Drosophila melanogaster: one gene and its partner. The gene in region 1 interacts genetically with each later gene. Each region holds a gene or a part of one and is shown in the gene's direction. Other genes may lie near its edges. The genes, in order: T48 and l(2)gd1.

The links.
Region 2: of T48 (region 1) and l(2)gd1, changing one suppresses a phenotype caused by changing the other (phenotypic suppression), as found in Drosophila melanogaster (one study listed by BioGRID).

The regions. Positions count from the first base shown.
Region 1 is NT_033777.3:26,877,529-26,887,958, forward strand, and holds the start of T48 (transcript 48), read left to right. Parts: upstream 1-4,205; 5' UTR 4,206-4,535; intron 4,536-6,098; 5' UTR 6,099-6,427; coding exon 6,428-6,695; intron 6,696-10,430. Other genes in the region: ro (rough), read right to left, coding at 14-248, 3,037-3,577; CG5500 (uncharacterized protein), read left to right, coding at 2,066-2,308, 2,557-2,817.
Region 2 is NT_033779.5:11,102,942-11,114,650, forward strand, and holds l(2)gd1 (lethal (2) giant discs 1), read left to right. Parts: upstream 1-4,001; 5' UTR 4,002-4,123; coding exon 4,124-4,180; intron 4,181-4,267; coding exon 4,268-5,866; intron 5,867-5,924; coding exon 5,925-6,356; intron 6,357-6,414; coding exon 6,415-6,566; intron 6,567-7,163; coding exon 7,164-7,308; intron 7,309-7,374; coding exon 7,375-7,494; 3' UTR 7,495-7,900; downstream 7,901-11,709. Other genes in the region: Reps (RALBP1 associated Eps domain containing), read right to left, coding at 1-228, 382-468, 903-1,339, 1,411-2,195, 2,264-2,583, 2,666-3,070, 3,126-3,272; Idua (alpha-L-iduronidase), read right to left, coding at 7,901-7,980, 8,039-8,994, 9,073-9,490, 9,552-10,008; Gr32a (gustatory receptor 32a), read left to right, coding at 11,242-11,709. UniProt on the Drosophila melanogaster protein: Phosphatidyl inositol monophosphate binding protein involved in endosomal protein sorting through regulation of the endosomal sorting required for transport (ESCRT) pathway.

The DNA.
Region 1 (10,430 bases):
AGGGGAAACCCACCTGTAGTGCTGATCGATCTGAGCCTTTTCAATGCGTTTGTCCTTGGCCCTGCGATTCTGGAACCAGATCTTGATTTGCGTTTCGGTCAGGCGCAGCGTTTCGGCCAGCTCGAAGCGACGACTCCTGGAGATGTACTCGTTCCGATGGAACTCCACCTCCAGGCGAAGCGTCTGCTCTGTGCTGAAAGTGGTCCTCTGGCGGCGTTGTCTTCCCTCCTTGCGTCGCCTGCGAGCCACTGAAAGTCAAATACATTGATATCCTTACAATTAATACGTGTATAATATCTAGTTGGAATCAGCTTATTAGTTATGTAAACCCCGCACCATTCAGTGTGTACAATAACGACATCCGTCGGATAGCATCATTTTTTCACAGCCCACCCACTTTCGTTTATGTCCAACACAATGGAGATGTTAGAGCGAAATTAATCTTACATTAACAAACCATCAAGTTATGAGCGGGACTAAACGTTTTCGAATGTGGTTGCGTGTCGCTGCGTCAGTTAAACAAATAATTAACCACTCCGATCCGTGGTCCATCCGTCGTCCTCCCTCTCTTGCTCTCTCCGCCCGCCCACCTGCCAGAATTCGTCGTCGGTCGCGTTTGTGGTGCACATTAAAAGTGCATTTACCACGTAGTTTCTGTTCTCTATGTTTTTTTTTTTACCACGCTTTTCATTTCGGCAATCTATGCTGATCCGGGAAAGTTATAACAATGCCAACAGCTGGCTGGCCATCATCATCATCATCATCCTCGTCGAAATTCTCGGCATCATCCGCTCTTTCGAGTTTTCCATTCTGTCGTTTGATTGTTTGCATTCGCAGTGTCGCCGACGATGAAGCTCAACCAAGCGCACATTATGCCCCACTTCATCCTGCAACAACGAGCACCTGCCACCCAGGAACACCCACCACAAACACCCACACCATGGTGAATGTTGCGGTTTAGAGTCTAATTGATGTAACAAGGCGAAGCTGACAAGTTGCTCGGTGGTGTTAGGATGGTGGGGGGGGGGGAGGGGGGGTTTCCCCGGGAAGGGGTTGCTTTGTGGGCGTTGTAATCTCTAGCTTTTGCTTGATTACCCCTAGTCCGGATGGCTCTGGAGGGGCTTAAGCTCTTCCCTGATCCTTGCCGAAGGTTTTTTTTTTTTTTTAAATCACGTGTGTAATTCGATAGCCAAGTGTCCTTTCGGACGGTTTGTTGTGGCTAAAAATGAGTCTTCCTCGCTTAACCCTCCTCGCTTGCTGTTTGTGTTTGCTTTTTTAGGTTTCCTGCCGAGCTCAATTACAATGCTAATTTTTTCAGACACTTGTTATTTTTTTGAGATTGACCAAAAGTTTGGCTTGTAAGTTAGTTAATTTAAAGATCAAGTACTTATAGTAACTACCAAGCTGGTTTAGCATTAAATATATCAACTGTTCTGAATCTAAAAAATGCTTGCATATGTAGAATACGTTTCTGCTCGTAGAAAAGGTTTCAAAGTGTCTTTAACTTTGATTTCTTGCTTACGAATGGCTAACCCATTCACCCTTAACCTGCGATCATTTTCATTAGCCGACGCATTTCCATGTTTCAATATCCCCTCAACCTCATCTCCGCACCTGGCCACCTTGGCCACCTCATCAGGAGCAAACGAAAAAGCCGCAAGTAAACGAAAACTTTCACGGCTCAATGCGTTTTAATTTTTTCTTGGCATTCGGTTATTTTTTTTCCTTGGCTAATTTCTTTGCATTTGGGGGTCAGCAGCAGCAGCAGCAGCAGCAGCTCATTGTGTGGCATTGCTTGGTTGCCCCACCTTAGTTTCGTTTATTTTTTTCCAACTGATTTTACATAATCCTGGCCAGCGCACTCGGTGCGAAGATGTGGGGGATATTCAATATTGCAGCACTGACGATTAATCAGTTTTTTTTTGCGTATCCGACTTTTTTTTTTTGCAGTTCCTGCGGAACCAAGTTCATCTGGGCTGCACCTGCGCAGGCGTGTGAAATGCTCATCACTTCCTCTGGGCCTTTTCAATCGTAACTTTCGAACTCTTTCGGGGATCGGGCGGAAATGTTGGCTCCCCTGGGCTTCAGCTGTCCGCGATGCTTGCTCCTGCGACGTGGCGCCGAGCGTTGGGCCTCACTGGCCCGCCAATTGTCGGGCAGCAGCTCCCAGGATGATGCCAGCAGCAAGGATGCGGCCGCCCAGGAGGCAGCAAGTGGCTGTCCGCCCAATAGCACAACGACGGGCACTGACACTCCCAAAGCCAAAGATAAAACCACCAAGGGAAGGAAGCGGCTCAGAAACATAGAGGTAATGTTGTAAGCTAGTTGTTATCATTGCTATTATAGGTTAAATATCAGTTGGTAAGATTGTAGTTCATTAGAAAGAAAGGATCATCGATCTAGTATTGTAACACAAAACTTAGTGTAGTTCTATGAACTTCTAAAACTATTGAGCAGTATTATCGAAGGATCCAATTGTTATCACAATACTGAAATAACTTTCTATCCTAAGAGGAAAGTGGCTCAAGAGATTGCATATTATATAATCGTTTGCAGATACCTCCCGAGCCCACCACCTGCTGCATGTCGGGCTGCGCCAACTGCGTTTGGCTGGACTACGCACAGACGCTGGCCAAGCTGCTGGGCGACAACGATGAGGAGGCGCGAGAGATTGTGCTGAGCAAGATCACCGACCCGAACCTGAAGATGTTCCTCAGCCTGGAGCTGCGCCAGATGGCTAAGCAGCGGGAGGAGAAGGCGGCGGCGGAGAAAGCAGCGAAGCAGGGAAAGCCAAAGAAATCCTCGCCCCCGCCGTAGTACAAATCCCCGCTCACCTAAATATCTAGTTAGGACCAAATTCGTAGTAGCTCAAATTTACTCTTGTACTTAGTGTGTAAGAACTAAGAAACCTCAAAATAAACATGTAAGAGTTAAGGTTCTGAAGAAGTTATTTTCGTAGTTCTAAAGATTCTGCATAGCTTTGCAAATATTCTACACATTGTTAGAAACCATTCTTTTTTAAATGTAAGTACTCACGAAATGCGGAAAAGCCGGCGCTGAAGTGCGGGTCACTTGGGAAGCCGGCTGGGAATGCGTGTGGCAGGACAGGATTCGCAGCTCCACCGGCGGCAATTGCTGGCGGCGGGCTCACGTAGCTGAGTTTCTGGTGCACCAGCTGCGGCGGATGATGGTGATGATGATGATGCTGCTGGTGCTGCTGGCTAGGATGCTGCGGATAGTCCTTGGCGTGACCATAGAAATCGTAGGCGGGATATGCGGCTAGCGAGGTGCGTTCATCGCTGATGGAAATGTCTGGCGAGGAGACGCTTCCTCCATCGCTGTGATAGGGCGTGTCACAGGGCGGCGGCTTGTGGGCGTGTGTTCCGACGTCGATTTCCCCATTTTCCGAGGAGCGCGTTTCCAAATGCCCGTACAGACGTTCGAAAAACTGTCGCGGCGACGAGGGACGTTGCGGCACGGATAGAATCGTAGTGTTCGCTATGGGATCTAAGCTGTCACTCCTTTTGATGCCCGGCGAGCCGTCGGGTGAGCCAATCTCAACTTTGTGACGTTGCATTTCGTTTGAGGATGTGCCGCGTTAGCTGTCCAAACTAATCACTTGGGTAATCGGCGAGCGACTGAAGTGCCACAAATAATTCTACTTCCGCTGGTCAAGCGACGCTTATCCTGACGTCGACGTCGGCAGAGGAACTGGGTGAAAAAAAAAAACAAAGCAAATTACGCGGCACATCAGAAAATTAACAGCAGCAGCGGGGGCGCCTAAAATGCTGCTTACTAATAATAATAATAAAAAAAAAGGACCCCCTTCCCACTAAACACCTGAAGTGTGGCCTGAAACCCGGTTTGATTGGCTGAAGTGCCGTGCAATTAACCCCTAATTTTACTTCCGGCCAAAGTTTCACTTAAGGGTGGCAAGCAGTGTGCCTAAATAAGCTCCGCCCACTCTTAAGCAAGCAGTACTCACGTCTTCATACAAGCAGTGTGTGCGTACAGTCCCTGGTTTAGCCAAGTTTCTTACCTCGCCAGTGCTTTGCGAGGACAACAACCTTAAGAGCGAGATCCCTAGAGGTGGGCAATCAGCATTTGCTTCTTCAATGTATTTCATGCATTTTTCAAACTACCATAAACGGTCCGTCTAAATGGCAAAAAGTCTATATAAGCAACCGAATCGCGCCACTATCTGTAATTTTACATAGCGCGCGCGAGGGATCGAATCAAATCGAATCGAGTCGAGTCGAGTTCGTGGATTATATCAGCATGGATAATGTGTTCCCAAAACTTCGGTGCGTAAACGTGTGCTGTTTTGGGAAAGAAGTATCGATGAAGTGATAGTGATCGAAAGAACGAAAACAAAAACAAACGATTACGGTTATGTTGCCAATCCGTCTGCGCTGCGCAACCGATTTGCACGTACCGTTAGTTCGCGCAGCTGTCGCAGCCACCGAAAGTGCCAATAAAGAATAATAACAATAAACAAAGACCAACAAGTGGTGACGAAAATAAGAAAAAAAAAGGTACATCCCTTCGATTTTGGCCAATTTCGATTTTGTTTATCGAATTCCCATATCCCCTCAAACACCACAAAATGGGAGCAGTGCAAAACAAATAAAACCAGAAAAATTGCAGCGACTTTTGTTTGTTGTTTTCTGTCCGGATATTAATTGAATGGCTTTTATTTGGCCCCGGCGTGCATTTGTGTTTGTTTCTCTGACGGCTCTGAGCTGCGTTTGAGCAATGCAAAAATATTTTGTTAAAACTCGTTTCGTTTCGTTTAGAGCTTATTTGGCTTAAGCCCGCGAGTGTGTGTTTTTCAGTCGCCGACTTTTTTCCATCCATCAATTTCGGTTTTTTGTTACACTGACATATGCAAATTTTTTGAACATTTTTCGTGCGTTTTATTTTTTTGAGCTCAATTTATAAATACCTTCTGGTTGCACAGAAAAATGAAATTCAGACATGAACCTCGACTTAAAAAGTAATCAAACTGGATTGGAATCAATTGCAAAACAATCATATTTAATGAATTACAAACAGTAACCTTAAATTTATACATCAATACATCACATCATTGTGCTGAAAGACCTTAAAATAAATTTGCAAATATTTAAGCATAGTGTTTTGAGTCTTTAGAATGTTTGTATATTTTTTGTCGTGTGTAGAGCCTCTTCGGCATTTCCTCCTCCAGGCGATGTTTAATAAAGCGAAACCCACATGTTGTTCATTCTGTTTTCCATCCAAAAACAAACGAAAAAAAACAATAACATCAGCCTTTTCATTTCCATTGACATTTATGAGCGGCGCTAAGGGTGCACGCTGCCTCTCGCTCGCACGCAGAACTTCCTGCCTCTGGCCATCCCGCTTGCACATGCAGAGGCGTGGGCGGAGGCATTCGCGAGGGGCTTATTGTGGGATTTCTTTTGATTCCCTAATTCCCACCGCGGGATTTCTCGTGGGCTCGTTTTCATTATCCTGCGCATGCGCAGCATATTACGGGAAAATTGTTATGGAAATGAACGCGGACTTTTATGTTTGATTGATAGAAATGTCGCGTACTTACCAATTAACAGCGCAACAACAACGACTAACAGCTGTTGGCAATGTGTGTTGTCCGGTTACCGTTAGAAATTCGAGTGTAGAATAGTAATGCAAGTGGTAGCAAACAAAATAGTGACGAATGCACATGGGTATTAGAATGCTTTGAGACAGGAAATGTTTGGAACCCAAATAGTTTAAGATCGATATATTATATGTGTTTAGAAACATTCTACGATTTGTATACCTTTACATTTCTTAAGATGTTGTGTTTATTTTTATTTTACTGCGATAAGAATGTTAAACTTGTAGTATTCCTTATATTCCGATATGCATTTCTCTTGAACTTGATAAAAAAAAAACCCGCTTGGAAATCGGAATCGCTTGCTCCCTTGGGAAAGCTAAAAATACTTGCAAACCCATTCCAAATCTGTTTTATAGCCTTTCCCTACTGCCACTCCAAAGTGATAAAGATTGGCACACATATGCGAACTTCTGAATCGCACCGTACTAATCGCACTGTTTATGCTCCCTTATCTTTGCAGTGCCAAAAACGTCTGACACACTTTAGTGACTTGGACGGACGATCGTTTCACTAATTGCCGACACACATCATTTGCCTAATTGGCGGTGGAAAAGAGTAACAAGTGCGAGACGAGAGCAAACGTCGAGCGCAAATTGAATTTACGGTGCCCCATCAAAGTCAAGTCGGCCGACTCCAACTAATTTAATGATCAAAAGTAACACATTTTTTTCGCATTCGGCGGCAGCCGCTGAGCGGTGTTAATTGAAAGTGTCACGCTTCGTCACAATAATAAATATAATTCCCATCGACTACTGGCTTTCGTCTATGTGAAGTGAGTGCCCGAGTGAAATGCGGTCGGTGGAAGTGGCCCAAAGCGGCCCATCTGCCATCTTCTGGCTCGTCCAAGTGCTAATCGTGGGGGCGGCACAGGCTGCCACGCCCTTCGCGAAAGAGTACCGCAACGCGGGACTCTACAATGGCAACACACTCGTCGATCTGGACGGTTCCACCACCCTGGACATGGGCCAGGAGAAGCCCACCAGCAGCAGCAGCGGTCTCAGTGGAGGCTTCAAGTCGGAGTCGTCGGTGGTGCTGCCCGGCATGCTGCAAAATTCAGGTGGGTTTTAAATTATACTTAAGATATATATTTATATTTCAAATATATTAAGATTTTGTTCATTATTTAGTTATTTTAGTTGCATAGCATTTGATTTCATGGGTGCTTTCTACTTAGTTTCTCTGTTTCCATCTGCCCTGCTAATGGACTAAGTGTAGTCATCATCTCAGTTCTTCCCAGAATTATACGAACACAAACTCATTCATGCTTGCCTTATCAGACCCAAAAAGAGCCCCAAATAAAGCGTGTGTGCTCCAACGCGGAAAGAAGGAAGTGTTCACTTGGCCGCCGCTTCAGGTATACAAGCATTCATATACATATGTGCCGGCGCTTATCTAACCTTATCGCACAACTCTTCCTGGGACCCTTTTGTGTCCACCGATCGTGTCTTCGGTTTGTTTGCGACCTGCGCCTTGGCGGCATCATATTTCCGAAATGGGGAGGAGGGCACACAAGAGTGGGGAACAGATTACTCGAACAAGTGTATCTGCTGTCTGCCGCTTGTCTCTGCCTTTTGCATTGTGTCTGTCCCGGTTTGAGATGGTCCTCCCCAGGTTTTTTTCCCTGGTAATTCAATCTCAGCTGCACTCGAGAGAGAAAGAGAGCTAGATGAGTGCTGCCCAGCTGGCAACCAGGATGTCAACCACAGCTCCAGGTTCCATATACCCATCCATGTACCCATACCAATTGCAATCCCAATCCAATCCCATTCCCATTCCCGTTCCCATTCCCGTTCCCGTTTCGGGCACGCTCGGCACATCCGCCAAGCAATTTTCCTGCCTCATTATAACGAGATTAAAGCGTAATCACGGGGAGAAACTGAAGAAGACGTGTGCTGGACTGGTAGAGACCCAGTTGGGGTTTCTTTATAGTTTTAATTTCCATTGCTCATTTTTGGGTTCTTCGATCTTTGCCAAAGTGCGAACTTCCTGTCCCTGTCCAGTGAAAGGGATCTTCGGTCTCGAGTGTTTACCTTTCCATACTGTGTCGCCTGTCTTTTTGGCCAACCGAATTCTGTTTCTTCACTCCCCTTTTCCGCGTTCGGTATTTCGACTGATTTAAATGTCATTTAAGCCGCTTAACTTGGCCCGCTGTTAGCTGCTACGTTTCTGATTTTTAAGTTTTTACGACGGCATTTTTAAGTTTAATGGTAGTCCCATTTTATGAGCGTGAAAATGAAAGTACTTTCGTCAAGTTACACTCACTGTCTCCGTCTCCGTCTCCTTTCTCCAAACCCTATCTCCCTGCGTCGGCCTTTTCTTTTGGAGTTTTGTGGCCCTCGACTCGACTTATGACTCGACAGCAATTTAGGTGCTTGGGTGAACTTAAGGCCGTAGTATATTTGTGGCTTTCTTAAATGTGTCATAATTAAAGGCACCACTTTTTCGTGGGCCGATATGCTGGTTGGGATTTTCCATAACCCTTGGCCAGATTTAGATCAGATTTGGATATGGTCGAGATCTGTGGGTGGCCACAATGCCCGGAGTAATATCGAATTTCCCTAGCTGAAAACCCATTAAATCTTCACAGTCCATTTCCCTTATAATACGCTATTTTCAGGCATTTCCTGAATTCCTCGAGAACTGAATGGGAGCCTAAAGACCGTTAAAATAGTTGCACGCCTTTGTGAATACATTTTAATGCATCATTAATGCCGTGTTCTTATTTCCCTCGACCACTCCATTCATCGCAATTCCTGGACATTGGCCAAAAATATGGAATGCCCAAGGCGGACTACCTGAATGTTCTGTGAGCTGAAAGAGAGTTTTTCGTTTTCGGGTGCCGGGAACCAGCGTAAAAATTTCAGCAAAGCACGCAAACTTTGGCCCAGGGACCAGTTTTTGGTAGACTGGGTCTTTTCTTGGTCTTGGCTTTGGCTTTGGTGTCTTGGTCTTGGTTTTGGTTTTGGTTTTGGTCTTGCTCCGAGTGCTGAGTTCCCAAGTTCCCCAGTTTCCGAGTACAGTACGCAGGCGCAGAGATCTTGGCAGGAGGCTGTTGTCGCTGCCGTTTCTTTGGCTTGGGGTCCCTGGCACTTCAACTCTTCAGCATGTATTTAGATAGACCAACGTCGAAAGATACAAGCGGCGTGTATCTGTGAGTTCGTGTTGCGCTGTGTGTGCTAGTGCTTACAGCCGGGGTCAGAATTATAGCACAATTAGAAGTTCTCAAGATCAACTGGTAATCTAAAGAATCCAACAGAATTCTATACTATTAATATAATAATAATATTTAAGATGACTTTTGCGTCACTTTATTTATACATAGTTTATTGAAATAGTAAACTGATTGTCTTCTGTGGCTTAACAGATAAGAAACCGTAGTGAGATAGATACATTTGCCAAGGCCTTCCGAGTGCTATTATCTTGCCCCCAGTTGTGTGTGCCTCGGCCAAACAAAGCCAGCCGACAATCGTAAAAACTAAACGACGAGAGAATTTATGAGGCCTCAGCCGTAGTGGAGTCTCTACAGTATTCAGTATTCTGCATTCAGCATTCGGCTTCATCTTGAGCGGTATATATGGTAGATCAAGTGCCAAAGTCAGAGGGAACGGGCATTCCTCCTCGAGTTAGATAACAGTGCACCGGCCAGGTTGTGTGTCATGCAAATGCAGATACAGATAAAAACCGAATGCAGTTTTGCAGTAAGCATATATATATATATAAATCAAGGCAGCAGGTAGCACAGACAGGGCAAACGACCCAAACGACTCTAGCTGAACAAAACAAAAAAAAAAAAAGAAAGAAGAATGTGAGGCGCAAAGTGCGAAATATCCCACAGAGAAGGTGCATCTGTTAGATGCATTTTGCGCTCAGCATCCCGAGCATCGTTCCCTCTAGGCTCATTCTGAATCACACATCCCTCCATCGGTTAACGCTGCCACGCTAATTTGACGAAAGCCCATTTCATGGCATTTTTCCAGCACGGCCAGCGATTTCATGCTCCGAAATCGGACTCTCCGCATCGTACAGGTAGTTTTTAACACCTGAAAACCGAATCGTTTAGTGTGCGCAAGTGTCTAGCCTCCATCCACGTCCACATACACGTCCACGTCCACGTCCTCGGCCACGTTCACGTCCACTTCCACATGGTCTACCCACCCACCTCAGGGGCCTCGTGTTTACACCTTTTGCGAAAAGTCAGGGAAAATGAAACGGTTTCTTCGCATTTTATGGCCCGAACCTGTTGTGTTGCACCCTCCCTCCCTCTGTGATTTTTCATTGGTTTTTTTTTTTTTTTTTGATTATCCCATTGTTTGTTTTACCAGTCGTTTGTTGTTGCTATTTATTTGTTTTTAATTTTACATTCAAAAAGAGAACAAACGCGCATACGGTTAATGGATAAATTGTGCAAGGCGCTTGAGGAGTATATACATATATACGAGTATATTCTATTCGATTTGTTTATCCAAAAGGGGGGAAAACTTTTCGGTGCAGTGCAGACACGGACTTTCTATATAGGCAAATTTGGTAGATTTTTATCTACAGACAGCATTGTTTGCTGTTTTGGCCACGGGACAAGCGGACAACCCAACTAACAACACAACCGAAGCAAAGTGCAACAATTTGCGGCCATAAACCAGCCACCTACGTTGAATTTAACCCAGCTAGCAACCAACATACCCCTCCCCCCCACTGAAATTGCATTGGCTAACAAAAGACAGCACTACGTAAACAGGTGTCTCGAAATGTTTTCCTTTCTGCGCTTTTCTCTCTCTCCCCTTTTGTTTTTAATTTG
Region 2 (11,709 bases), on another chromosome or scaffold:
AGCACTGGGCAGCTGACCAGTTTGGGTGGTCAAACCAACAGCTGGAGCCGGCGGTGGCGGCTGCTGGGGCGGCGATTGCGATCCACGTGGCGTTTGCGGCTTTCGGTAAACCTCGAAGGCAGAAACGCGCTGCTGTGCCTGCTGAAGAGTGATTCTTGTGGGCGGCACCACTGCTGCCTGTGGCGGTGGTGCTGCCGGCGGCAAGGAGTGTAGCTGCTGCTCGTCCACCTATAAGGTCAGAGTACCAATTAGTAAGACAATCATACAAATGGATGCGTTTATTTATATAAGCTACTGAATTTGGACACATGACACTAGTGGAGCTACGGCCAATTGTAGTGGAATGCTTTACGAGTTGCATACATTTAGGATTGGACTTACGACGTTCGCGGCGCCTTCGTCGGCAAAGTGCGTGAAATCGGCAAACCCCGTTGAGGTTTGCATATCGAAGCTGGCCTGCGCGGTGATCTTAACAAAAGGGGTTCCATATTTATATACATTTCACAGGTTATAGGTAGGTAGTTAGGCAAAATCAAGCAAACAAAAAACACAAAAACAATATAAGCAAATTCGGTTTCCCGAAGTTTACGGTTTCCTTTGCAAATGCTTAACAATTGTGGACTCTTAAAAGACACTGTATTTTCATTTCAATAAATTGAATCTGTAGCAAAACTGTATTCGCCTTCATTTGCACAGTACACCACAAATATTGAAAACAGAGACGGAACACACGGAATGTTTTGGAAGTTCCTTAGTTTGTTATAGCATTGCAGGGGATAAGTGCGGATCTACGAAATACTATCCCCTACAAGGCTTTATTTAATGACCAAGGCATATAAAACGACACAGATTGAAATTCTCAGATAAAATTGGAAATTGTTGGTCCATAGGACATAACATACCTCCGCCTGTTGGGCACCGCCCGTTGCGCCTATTTTAAACTTGTTTAAGTCCAGACTGCTGCTCCGTGCATGACGATGTGGCCTTGGCGGTGGCAGAGGCGGTGGCTCCTTCTTCGACGCCAAAGACGATGCCACGTAGGCAGCCTGCGGTTCCTGCGACTCACTTGGCCCAGTGGATCCGATACTGGGCTCGCGTTGCGGTGGCGGTGGCAATGCACTGTTCTTGGCCGGCAGCTTTTTGGCTTGAGGCCGTTGGATGGCACGCAGATCGCTGCTATCGCGGTGGGAGGAGCCAGCGACTCCCGATATTCCGGGTACAACAGCAGATGACTGATTATTGACAGTAGTCGAAGAGATGGCCTTGGGACTATCCTCGCGCTGAGCCACCGCGCTCTCGTTTTCGTTAGATGACTCAGCTGAGGAAGCGATGGCGGTGCCTACAGATGAGATAAGGAATAATTATATTTATATTCAATTTATAGAATACTATTTTAGTTCTTCTACTCACCAATGGGCGTCACTCTTAGCGGCACTGGGTGCAGAATCTGCGGATTGGATACCACGTCTTGGGCCGAGCGCTTCATATCAAACAGGACTGGCTTGAGCCCGGGACTAGATGCGCCAGAAGCGGCTGCTCCGGCTGCTACAACAGGTGCTGCCCCAGTGGTTGACTGTACCGAAACCGCACTTGTTGTTGGAGATTCGCTAAACTTTGTCCACTGACTGGAGACGTTGGTCGAGTCTACAGCGCTTGCCGTAGAGGAAACAGTTCCCGACACAGGTTTTTCCACATTCGGCGAGTTTGAGATGCTTCGGTTCTTGCCCAAAGAATTCTGTGGTGTTGCCTCACGTTTGGAACTGTTGCTAGCCTGCGAGGACGTGGATATGCTGCTCAGATTCATGATGTTCTTGTCGCTGGGCACATTGGGACGCGGTTTGCTGGTCGTACTGCTGCCGCTGAGATTGCCTGCTATGATTGTATTATCCGTATGGTCGTCCTCATCGTCATCATTTAGGTGCAGGAGATCAGCCTCAGGTGGCTCCTGAGGCAGCGCCGCCGATGACGAGGATGTCACCCCCTGTCCACTGCCGGACGCAGCTGCTTGTAGCACGTTGGGATGCAAACAGTGGGGCAGACTTGTGGGCAAGGGAATGTTGTTGCGCCGTAGAACCACCAAATGCATGGCGGCCGTAAACTCAGACAGACTTAGCGCTCCATCGCGGGTAACGTCACACAACTGCCAAATGTGACGTAGCTCCTCCACAGGAATGCGGCTCTTTTCAAAAAAGTTTCTAATAAAAAAAGGAATAAGAAAATAATAAGAAGAATAAAGTTATAAACGTTCCTAAAGCCAACTTACCTTGCTGCTTGGCCCGAAAGCAGACCATGCGGATCCCTTTGCACCGTCCTGAACTGCTTATTATAGTACTCGCGCTGTTCCGGGGTTATCTGGTAAATGGTCACCAATTCGCTCTCGTTGTCATCGTCGTCGCTGCTGTGGCGATCGGAAGACTCTTCCTCCGTGCCTAGCAGCTGGCGATGCTCGTCGCCCAGCAAACCCTGCCAGAGGGTGTCCTGCGCCCAAGGCCGCTCAGCCACGCTGTTGGTGGGCGTGGGGCTGTCACTGTTAGTGCTCCAGGCTTCTGGCGATCCACCACCAGTACCGCCTCCTCGTCGTCGCTAAAAGAGATAAGGCATGGACGGGGATCGGTCAATGGTAAGCTTATTTACAAATGTCACAAGATAAGATAGAAGTACAAACCCCGACATTTTCGCGGCTGCTGCTGCTGACGACCCCACAGCCATCCGTACCTCGTCCATGGCCTGTCGCATCGTCCACTGATTCGTTTTGCTCAACCTCGGAGTCGGTGCTGGGCACATCAGAGGTGTCTTGCAGCTGCTCTTGCTGCGAGTTACGACGCAGTGAATTTCTGCGATCTGTGGGTGGTGGCGGTGGCAAGGCAGTCAATCCATTTTCGACAGCCACCGGAGCTGTAACCGCCTCCTTCCAGCTAAAGTGCGGTAATGGAAGCGGAAACGTGGCCAAGATCAGCTCCTGGCGCAGGGGCATGGCCGCCTGATGAGCAGCGATTAGCTTCAGGCATGAGTAGAACTGTGTCCGCGAGATGTGTAGCGCCGTGGAGGGTATCCCCGCCAGACCGGTGATCTATAAGCCCAGACCCAGATAATTAATCACTCACGATCACACAAATTGGACCTACCTCAATCACGGTCTCATTGGCGATGTCCGCCGAGCGAAAGAGCTCGGTGGCCTTAAGCATGGGCACCTTGCCTGTCTTCTCCACGTCGCAGCATTGGAACAACTCACTGTAGAAGCGCGTCTCCGGCTCAGTGAGGGACACGTCCATGCCTGTCGCCTACTTGTTGCCGTCTCTGGTTTCGTTTACCAAGCCGCTGGTTAACGAGCCACGCCCCGTTCGTCCGTCCTGGACCCGGAATCCAATTCGTTTGTTTACTTCCACGTTTAACCCAGCAGGCCAGTGCCGACCCCGCTGCCCCGCGCTGCTCACAACCAGAAGTCTGATGATTTTCTGCCTTTGGCCCCCAAGACGGAGTTGGAGGAGGTGGAAGCTGGGAGAACTGCGGGGACGATGGTTTCGCTAACTTCTTGGTGCCACCACAACCACGATGGTTAGAGGATTCACGGCACTGGTCGACGAGGGTACACCTAGTGCCTCAAGCTGCTCGGCGCACAATCAATTTGGCTTTTTGTCCAGGTTTTTTTTCGCAAACTCTTTTGCACTGTGTGTGCGCTGGCTCTCGATATCGATAGGTTGCGGTATCGATTCGATTAGACAGCTGGCGCGGCAGCCCTGTACCTGTTAGCGTTTCGCAGCCCTAGTTACCGGCAAAAGTTTAGTTCCGCAGGATTGATGTTTTGTAAGGTGGCTTACCATGTTCATTTATATTTCATTATGGATTAAACTATAATAAAATTTAATGTTGCTGAATGAAGAAAAAATCATTTCTTCATTATTTTTAACGATATTTTTTTAACCGTCAACAAATTTCCTGTAGCCCTGTGCCACTGACGTCACCAATTCGCAAAGACTTTCCTGCGTCACCTTTCGTTGCACCACAGTGATCCCCACTCTGTTATTGTTGTCTGCGGCTGAACTGTTGCGACGCAAAAATTTAAAGGATTTGAAAGTCTTTATAGACTTATTTTAGTTAATAAACAGCCTCTGTGCAATCAAGGATGTTCTCCAGAAAGAAGCCAGAGCCAGCGAAAAGAAGGCAACACGATTTATCGCAGGTGAGAGGAAAAACAAACAGTCTAGATCCGTCTATTTATTAATTATGACTCATCGTTTGGACTGTCTTTTTTGTTTTTTGTGTTTAGTTCGGTCTTACGGAAATCCCAGATGATTTTGATCCCAGCGCTGGATATGGTGAGGACGATGGGGGTGACAGTGATTTGGAGGCAGAGCTTGCGGCCATAACCGGCGGAGAAGGAGCCAAGCCAAAGCCCAAGCCCAAAGCAAAGCTGTTACCCGCCAGTGATTTGGACAAAATGATAGCCGACAGCTTGCGTGATGTCAGCGACGATGATGATGATGACAATTTGGAAAGCGATCCGGATCTTCTTGGCGAGCTGAGCGGAATCGGTGGTCTAGAGGAGGCAGAGGAAGAGGAGCCTGTCGCACAACCGCCAGCTGCCTCTGAGGAACCCGTCCAGACCTTTCTGCCCACGACGACTGTGGACACATTAAGCATTATCAAACAGCGCCTGGAAATGTACAAGCAGGCCGAGGCCAATGCCAAGACTGCCGGCGATTCTGGCAAAGCAAGGCGATTTGGAAGAGGCCTTAAGACTCTGAAAGATCTGCACAGGCAGGCAGCGGCTGGCAAGTCCATTAACGTGGATGACATTCCACCTGAAGTCAGTGTAAAGCCAATTGGCGGGCAGGCTCCTCCAGTGCCTGCAGAGGAGTCACCAGCTCCTTCCACACCTGCTTCCCCTCCGCCTGTGCCTAGTCGTGCAGCTCCAGATCCACCAACCCCCGGCACCCCCGTGGAGCCCACTACATCTGTGGCTCCCACATCTCCCCCTAATCCTCTTGTGACGCAAATGCGCAGCCGCCAGACGGACTACAAAGCTGCTGCACTGCAATCTAAGCGCAGTGGTGACATATCTACTGCCCTTCAGTTTCTCAAAGTGGTCAAGCAATTTGACGTAGTTATAAAAATGTGTGAAGACGGACAGGAAGTTGATTTGAGTGACATGCCCCCTCCACCAGCTGAGTTTCTTGAATTCCTTAAAAAAATGCAAGAAGAAGCAGCCGCAGAAGCTGTCGCAGAACCTACTGCTGCCCCAGAACCCACACCTGTTGCTCCTGCTCCTGTTCTAGCAGCTGCAACAAATATGTTGGAGGCTCTGCAGCAACGTTTAGAGAAATATCAATCTGTAGAAGCGGCAGCCAAGGCAGAAAACAATAGCGGAAAAGCAAGACGCTTTGGAAGGATTGTGAAGCAATACGAAGATGCCATAAAGTTGTACAAGGCAGGCAAACCAGTGCCTTACGATGAGCTGCCTGTGCCACCAGGTTTTGGACCGCTGCCTACGGCTGATGCTGCTCCTGTCGCGCCGACACCGTCGCTGCCCACTTCGCCTACATCTCCACCGCCAACAGCAAGTACTTCCGCAGGAGGAACACCCTCCAGTTCCAGTGCGACGACACCTACAGCTCCTCGAAAAGCACCTTCACCTCCTAAGCCCAAAGAGTTAACAACACGCACGTCTGGCAATCAGCAGAAGAATAATATTGCCGAGCAACAAATGAAACTGCTCCTCGAGCGCCAAAAGGAGTTTAAGCTAGCTGCTATAGAGGCCAAAAAAGCGGGAGAAATAGATCAGGCGAAGGAGTACCTCAAGATCTTCAAGGGATTCGATTCCCTTCTTAATGCAGCGAGTAGTGGATTGCCAGTGGACCTCAGCACTGTAAGTTTTGCATTACATCTTCTTCTTGTATGGCTAACTATATATTTTTTTTTTTCAGCTTCCCGTCCCGCCTTCACAAAGGGATAATCTAGAAGCCTCCTTTGCCATTGTATCTGCTGAGGAATGCGATCCGACAGATGATATCTGTGAAATTGGTGTTCGCATGGAGGAGCAGCTGGCAAAACAACTGATGATGTGCAAAAATACGCGAGATCATCACAAAGCTATGGGAGATGTAGCAGGCATGAATCGGTTTGAAAATTTAGCCTTAACTGTGCAAAAGGATTTGGATTTGGTGCGATACTCGAAACGAAAGAATGAACCACTGCCAAAGTTTCACTATGAAAAGCGTAGCTTCAACATTGTGCATTGCAACACAGATCTCACAGACAGTGAGCTTGAAATTGTTGTGGTCCGGGGAATCAGCTACAATGTGGCCAATCCCAAGGACGTGGATACTTATGTGCGCGTAGAGTTTCCCCTGCTCAATGTAAGCTAATTACCAACATTTAAAGTTTCACCAATTATTTATATGTTTTCGTTTTAAGGATGAATCTTTCAAGACTAAAACCAATGTTATCAGAGACACCAGCAGTCCTGACTACGATGAACGCTTCAAGGTTGACATCCAGCGGACCAATCGTCAGTTCCAGAGAATCTTTAAGCGGCATGGCGTCAAGTTTGAAATATACTCTAGAGGGTAAGTTGCCCGTACATAAAAGAACTGAGCTAGAACAATTATTTAATCCGTACTAAGAAGCTTTCCATGCATATTAATCTCAACTAACGGAGGCGGTATATGATCTTATTTACGCGTATTAATTTTCCAAGGAATACTTAGTAATATCCGATGAGTAGTAATCTTCTACATTTTGAAATAGCCTTAAAGACTTAAATAAAAATATATATATAATTTTAAAAAATATTTGGCATAGATCATTTTGCGAAAATTTAAAAAGCTGTTGATTGAGCTGCATACCTACTAAATATTTTTATCCAATTTGTAGGTTTCGCTTGGGTATTAATTTGCTCTTAATATTAAGTTTCAGCTCTTAATTTGAATTATTAAATTTTTCCCGTAGTAAGCATGTTCCTTTGGTCCCGTAAAACAGTATCGTACGAGTCACGGCTTCAAGCACACATATATTTCACCGTATGTGTCTACCCATTGATCTTCTTGATTGATTCTCACAAGGAACATTTTAATGAAATATTTTTACAAATTTTTACGCCTCAATTCCCAACAATTCAAACAAAAAATAAATGTCATCCAATGCTACGCATTTAATATAAATAGCTGCAGTATAGATTGTTGTGGACTAAGTCGTAAACTGCCCCTGTGTTGTTTCAGAGGTTTTCTGCGATCGGATACGTTGATCGGAACCGTAAATGTCAAGCTGCAGCCATTGGAGACCAAGTGCGAGATACACGACACATATGATGTAAGTGATAACTACTATAATAAAATAATATAAACTTAAATTTAACCTATGTATTCCTTAAAACAGCTAATGGATGGTCGCAAGCAAGTAGGTGGAAAATTGGAAGTCAAGATACGCGTTCGCAATCCTATTCTCACCAAGCAAATGGAGCACATCACCGAAAAGTGGTTGGTCTTGGATGCCTAGGGCTAAACAAGAAAATTTAAATAAAATAGGAACGCGTCCCCTTGCGATTGTTCTCGATTAAGTCACTAAGTTATTTGTTTGTAAATATCCCTCACAGAAAATTCAATTTATCTAAGTATGTACGCTTTTGCCGATTCCTTCGCAGGAAGAAGGCATTTATATATTACGAACACAACACATATAATGTACTATAAATATCTTTATATATAAATAATATATGTATATATGATATTGCCGGCGTTAAGGCGAAGGCGCAAGTCCAGAAGATTGTGCCGGTGAAGTCAGTCCATTCCAAGAGAGACAGATTGAGAGTAGGATCGGTCCACTAGCGCCTAGCCGAAACCTGATTATGTTAGCTTTCACATTGCATAAATATTTTCTTTTGATTTATAAACTGTTTGTTGAACTACAACTCCAGATATTCGACTATTTGTGAGTAGGGACTGGTTTCATTAAACACATCCACACCGCGAACTTTATAGAAACCTGCCGACAAAAAAAGATTTCGGTTATGAAAGATGGAAATTTTGCAGGTTATGCTCACCATTGACGGATCCCTTATCGCCGGGCGCATACTGAAACGACGGATATGGCAGATGCCAGCCCTGTGAGATGAGCATCCAGTCGGCGGAGCGACCCAGATTATCGCGTTCCTTAAACCACACCTCGTAGCTGAGAAGGCACTGCGTGGATTTGGGGTGTTCCATCCAGCTAATGAACACCTCACGCTGAGTCACCTCTGCGATGGAAAGTTGCTGCGGTCGTCGCAGTTTGGGCCAAGATGCGGAACACACCCGGAGCAGCATCGCCCAGGGCAGTGGGATGCTGGCGGAGTTGATAACTAGCTCGCTGTTGTACTGCCAGATGGGTCCCGTCTTGTAGAGTCTAGGTGCTTGGGCTCTTCGCATCGCTTCCCTTAGAGTGGCGTTGGGATAAGCCGGACTTCCAGCTTGCTGCCATATGTAGTACGGATCCGTTTCCTTTGGCACCAGGAGCTCGGTGACGAAGGCCGACTCATTCGCTATCGACATGTTTAGCGTGTACTTGTGATGAAAGGCTGTCATCTTTGGACCCGCCTCCTCGGGACTCAGAAATATTGTGGCCATATACTGACCAGGACCGCCTAATCCACCGGATACTGTACGCAGGACCTGGACGCTATGTTTAGTATCCATATTAACCATTTCCACGTCCGCAGCCCGGGTGCCCAGCTTCGCCAGCATTCCCAGAGCAGCGTATACGGGTTTCTGAACGAGCTGCGAGTGCGGTGGTTTGGTTTCGTTCATCCTGAAGTGGGCTAGAAGGGTGCGCTGTGTGAACTCGTGGGGATGGTAGCTCAGGAAGGCGTTGTCATGACTAATCGACTCCAAGCGACTCAGTGGACCACCGGCCAGCTTGGCATGCCAGAACTGCATTACCGTAGATATCAGTGTGATTCCATACCGCACATCCGCCTGAAAATCCCGGGAGGTGCTCCAACCGGCCACAGGATCGGCTTCACTGAGAGATTGAAAAGTAAGGATTTCAATAAGGACTACCATGTATTTCTAGCATATTTTTTGATAATTTAGTTCTTACTCATTGGCCACCGGCAGCTGCTTGAGATTGGGATACTCCTCATAGATTTTGGCCATCAAGGAAAGCGAACCATTTACGATTTCCGTGGCAGTGCCTTCGATTCCCTTTCGGTGGAAAGTCAGTATGTCGATGGGACAGTAAACCACTCTTTGACTGCATAGCTCCAATAGATTCCAGCAGAGCGGATGATTCGAGTCCTTAAAGAGTCCTGCAGGGCCGCGCAGGGAGCGATACATGGGCAGTGGAACCTTTCCGTCCTGGTTGTCCAGGTTTCCAGCTTTACTCAAACCCCGCCGCACAGCTTGAACGTAATCCAGAAAGGTGTGTGCCGTAAAGTTTTGCTTGTTATACCCACGAAGGTCCGGTTCATTCCATGTCTCATAGCGCCAGTTGACCAATCTGGAGGAACCGTGTCGTGCTGATGAACAGACAGGAATCTGTAGGTACGCATTTGAAGAGAGTGCGTAGGCCATGCTTACCTATCTGGTGGTTAATCGTGGTCTTAACCAAGTGCTCCCAGTAGAAGGATTGCTGCATGGGGTTTTCCGAAAAAACCCCACCCAGATTGCCCATCCACTCCAGAACGGGGGACAAGCGCAGTTCCTCGTGTAGGAAATCAATGAAGTCATCGAACTTGGAAAAATCATAAATCGGTATTCCGCTGGGGTCGTACTGCCAGAATTGTATCAGCTCCAGCAGCCAGTGGATGCGAATGTGGGTCACCGCGCCCACGGGCAATGCTGCAATCAGGCGAAGATTAAGTCGAAGGGCTGGATCGCCCAGGGCGGCGCTAATCCCCTCGTGATCAATGCGTCCGGCGGGACAGAAGCCCACGCCCGTCCAAAAGTGCGGCATTGTGTGATAGACCACATCTCCGCTCGTGTAGTGGGCGTGGATCCTGGCAAGCGTCGTCAGAACCAGGAGTAGCGACAGCATTCCGTGCGATGAGCGATTCGCTCGACTTTCTCTGCGGGATTAATGACGGGTTTTGTTTTGTCTTCGATTTGTCGATGCCGCTGCTGATAAGAGTGGCTCTCTCACCTTCCCTCCTATCTCTCGGTGTGTCTGTATCTGTCGGAGTGAGCTAAACCAAAAGCTAAAGCCGTGTCCGTGACGTCACAGGCAGTGCGTCACAGTGGGTTCAGTTGGAACACAAAGTCATGCTTAACCCAAGAGATGAAATGAAAATGTTTCCAATTATCCATTAAAACCTTTAATAGTTTAACTAATAAAACATGTTAAAATTATTTTAAAATACACTGATTTAAGCTGACAACTAACTAAACTTTATGACAGTAAAGCTTATAGCCAGTATATCATTATACCATTAAAAAAATCATTTTTGACTGAAGAATTCGTGTCAAGTCTGTCTCCTAAGCTTCCTGCGAACGATTTCCTTCCTCGACCCACAGTGAGGCGTGTGCCGAAAGCAACAGCGTGCCCGTTTAGCACTCTCTCGTCACGAGTCTCTCTCCCCAAAAGGTAAAGGAAGTAAAGCTGGGAATGACACAAAAAAGAAAAGCAACAGCACGAGCCGCATTGAATTGCAATCCCTCATTGGGGGTGGAAAAATACGTGGATGTGTGTGTGCGAAATGGAGTTTGTCCTTGTGTGGGTGCTATGGGGGCGGAAAAGCGGAAAAGGTGTGACAAAGATAACATTTCACGCATCCCAGTGATAATACACCCATAACACGCTCATGTTACATGTTACATTGGAGGGTGAACTGGTCCTCCAATTGGTTCGCCATTCAATTTTATATTTATGGGATTTGTTTTGCGGGGATTAACGCAGGACTTAGGGGAATCCTTATATGGAAAAACCCCAATGTCGCCGCAACGAAAATGAATAGGAATTGAGCAGACATTTCCTAGAATCTTTTGCATTATGTGAAATAAAACTATTAAGCAATATAAATACTTATGAATTGTAAATATTAAGAAAATAAATAACTCTTTCTATAAATTCATCAAAATTCATCCATGGAATAATTGATTTCCTCTCCATTGGCAATATTCAATAATTCACAATGCCAAGCAATTACTCTAATGGCAAAGTCTCGGGCCCAAGTGGGCCCACGACAAAATCAGATAGCTCAGAACCCACTTAAATGAACGCTGTTCAATCCAGTTAGTGCAATCCTTTCGTCCTGTCAGTGCCACGTTGGCCATGTCCCCGAACACTTGGGTAATTGAAATGCCCACGCAGAAAACGCGATCACATCCGTATCCGCGAAGAATCTCGCCGTACCGGCCACCCGTCTTGAACCGCGATGCCTTCAGTAGGGATGCACCACCTATGCCAGCGAGGAACCATGATCATCCCGTTTTCGAGGACATTCGCACCATTTTGTCCGTGCTCAAGGCCAGTGGCTTGATGCCAATATACGAACAGGTCTCCGACTATGAGGTGGGTCCTCCGACCAAAACGAATGAGTTCTACTCGTTCTTCGTAAGAGGCGTGGTCCACGCCCTGACCATCTTCAATGTCTACAGCTTATTTACACCGATATCGGCGCAATTATTTTTCTCCTACCGCGAGACGGACAATGTGAACCAGTGGATCGAGCTGCTGCTCTGCATCCTAACCTATACCCTTACGGTTTTCGTTTGTGCCCACAATACCACGAGCATGTTG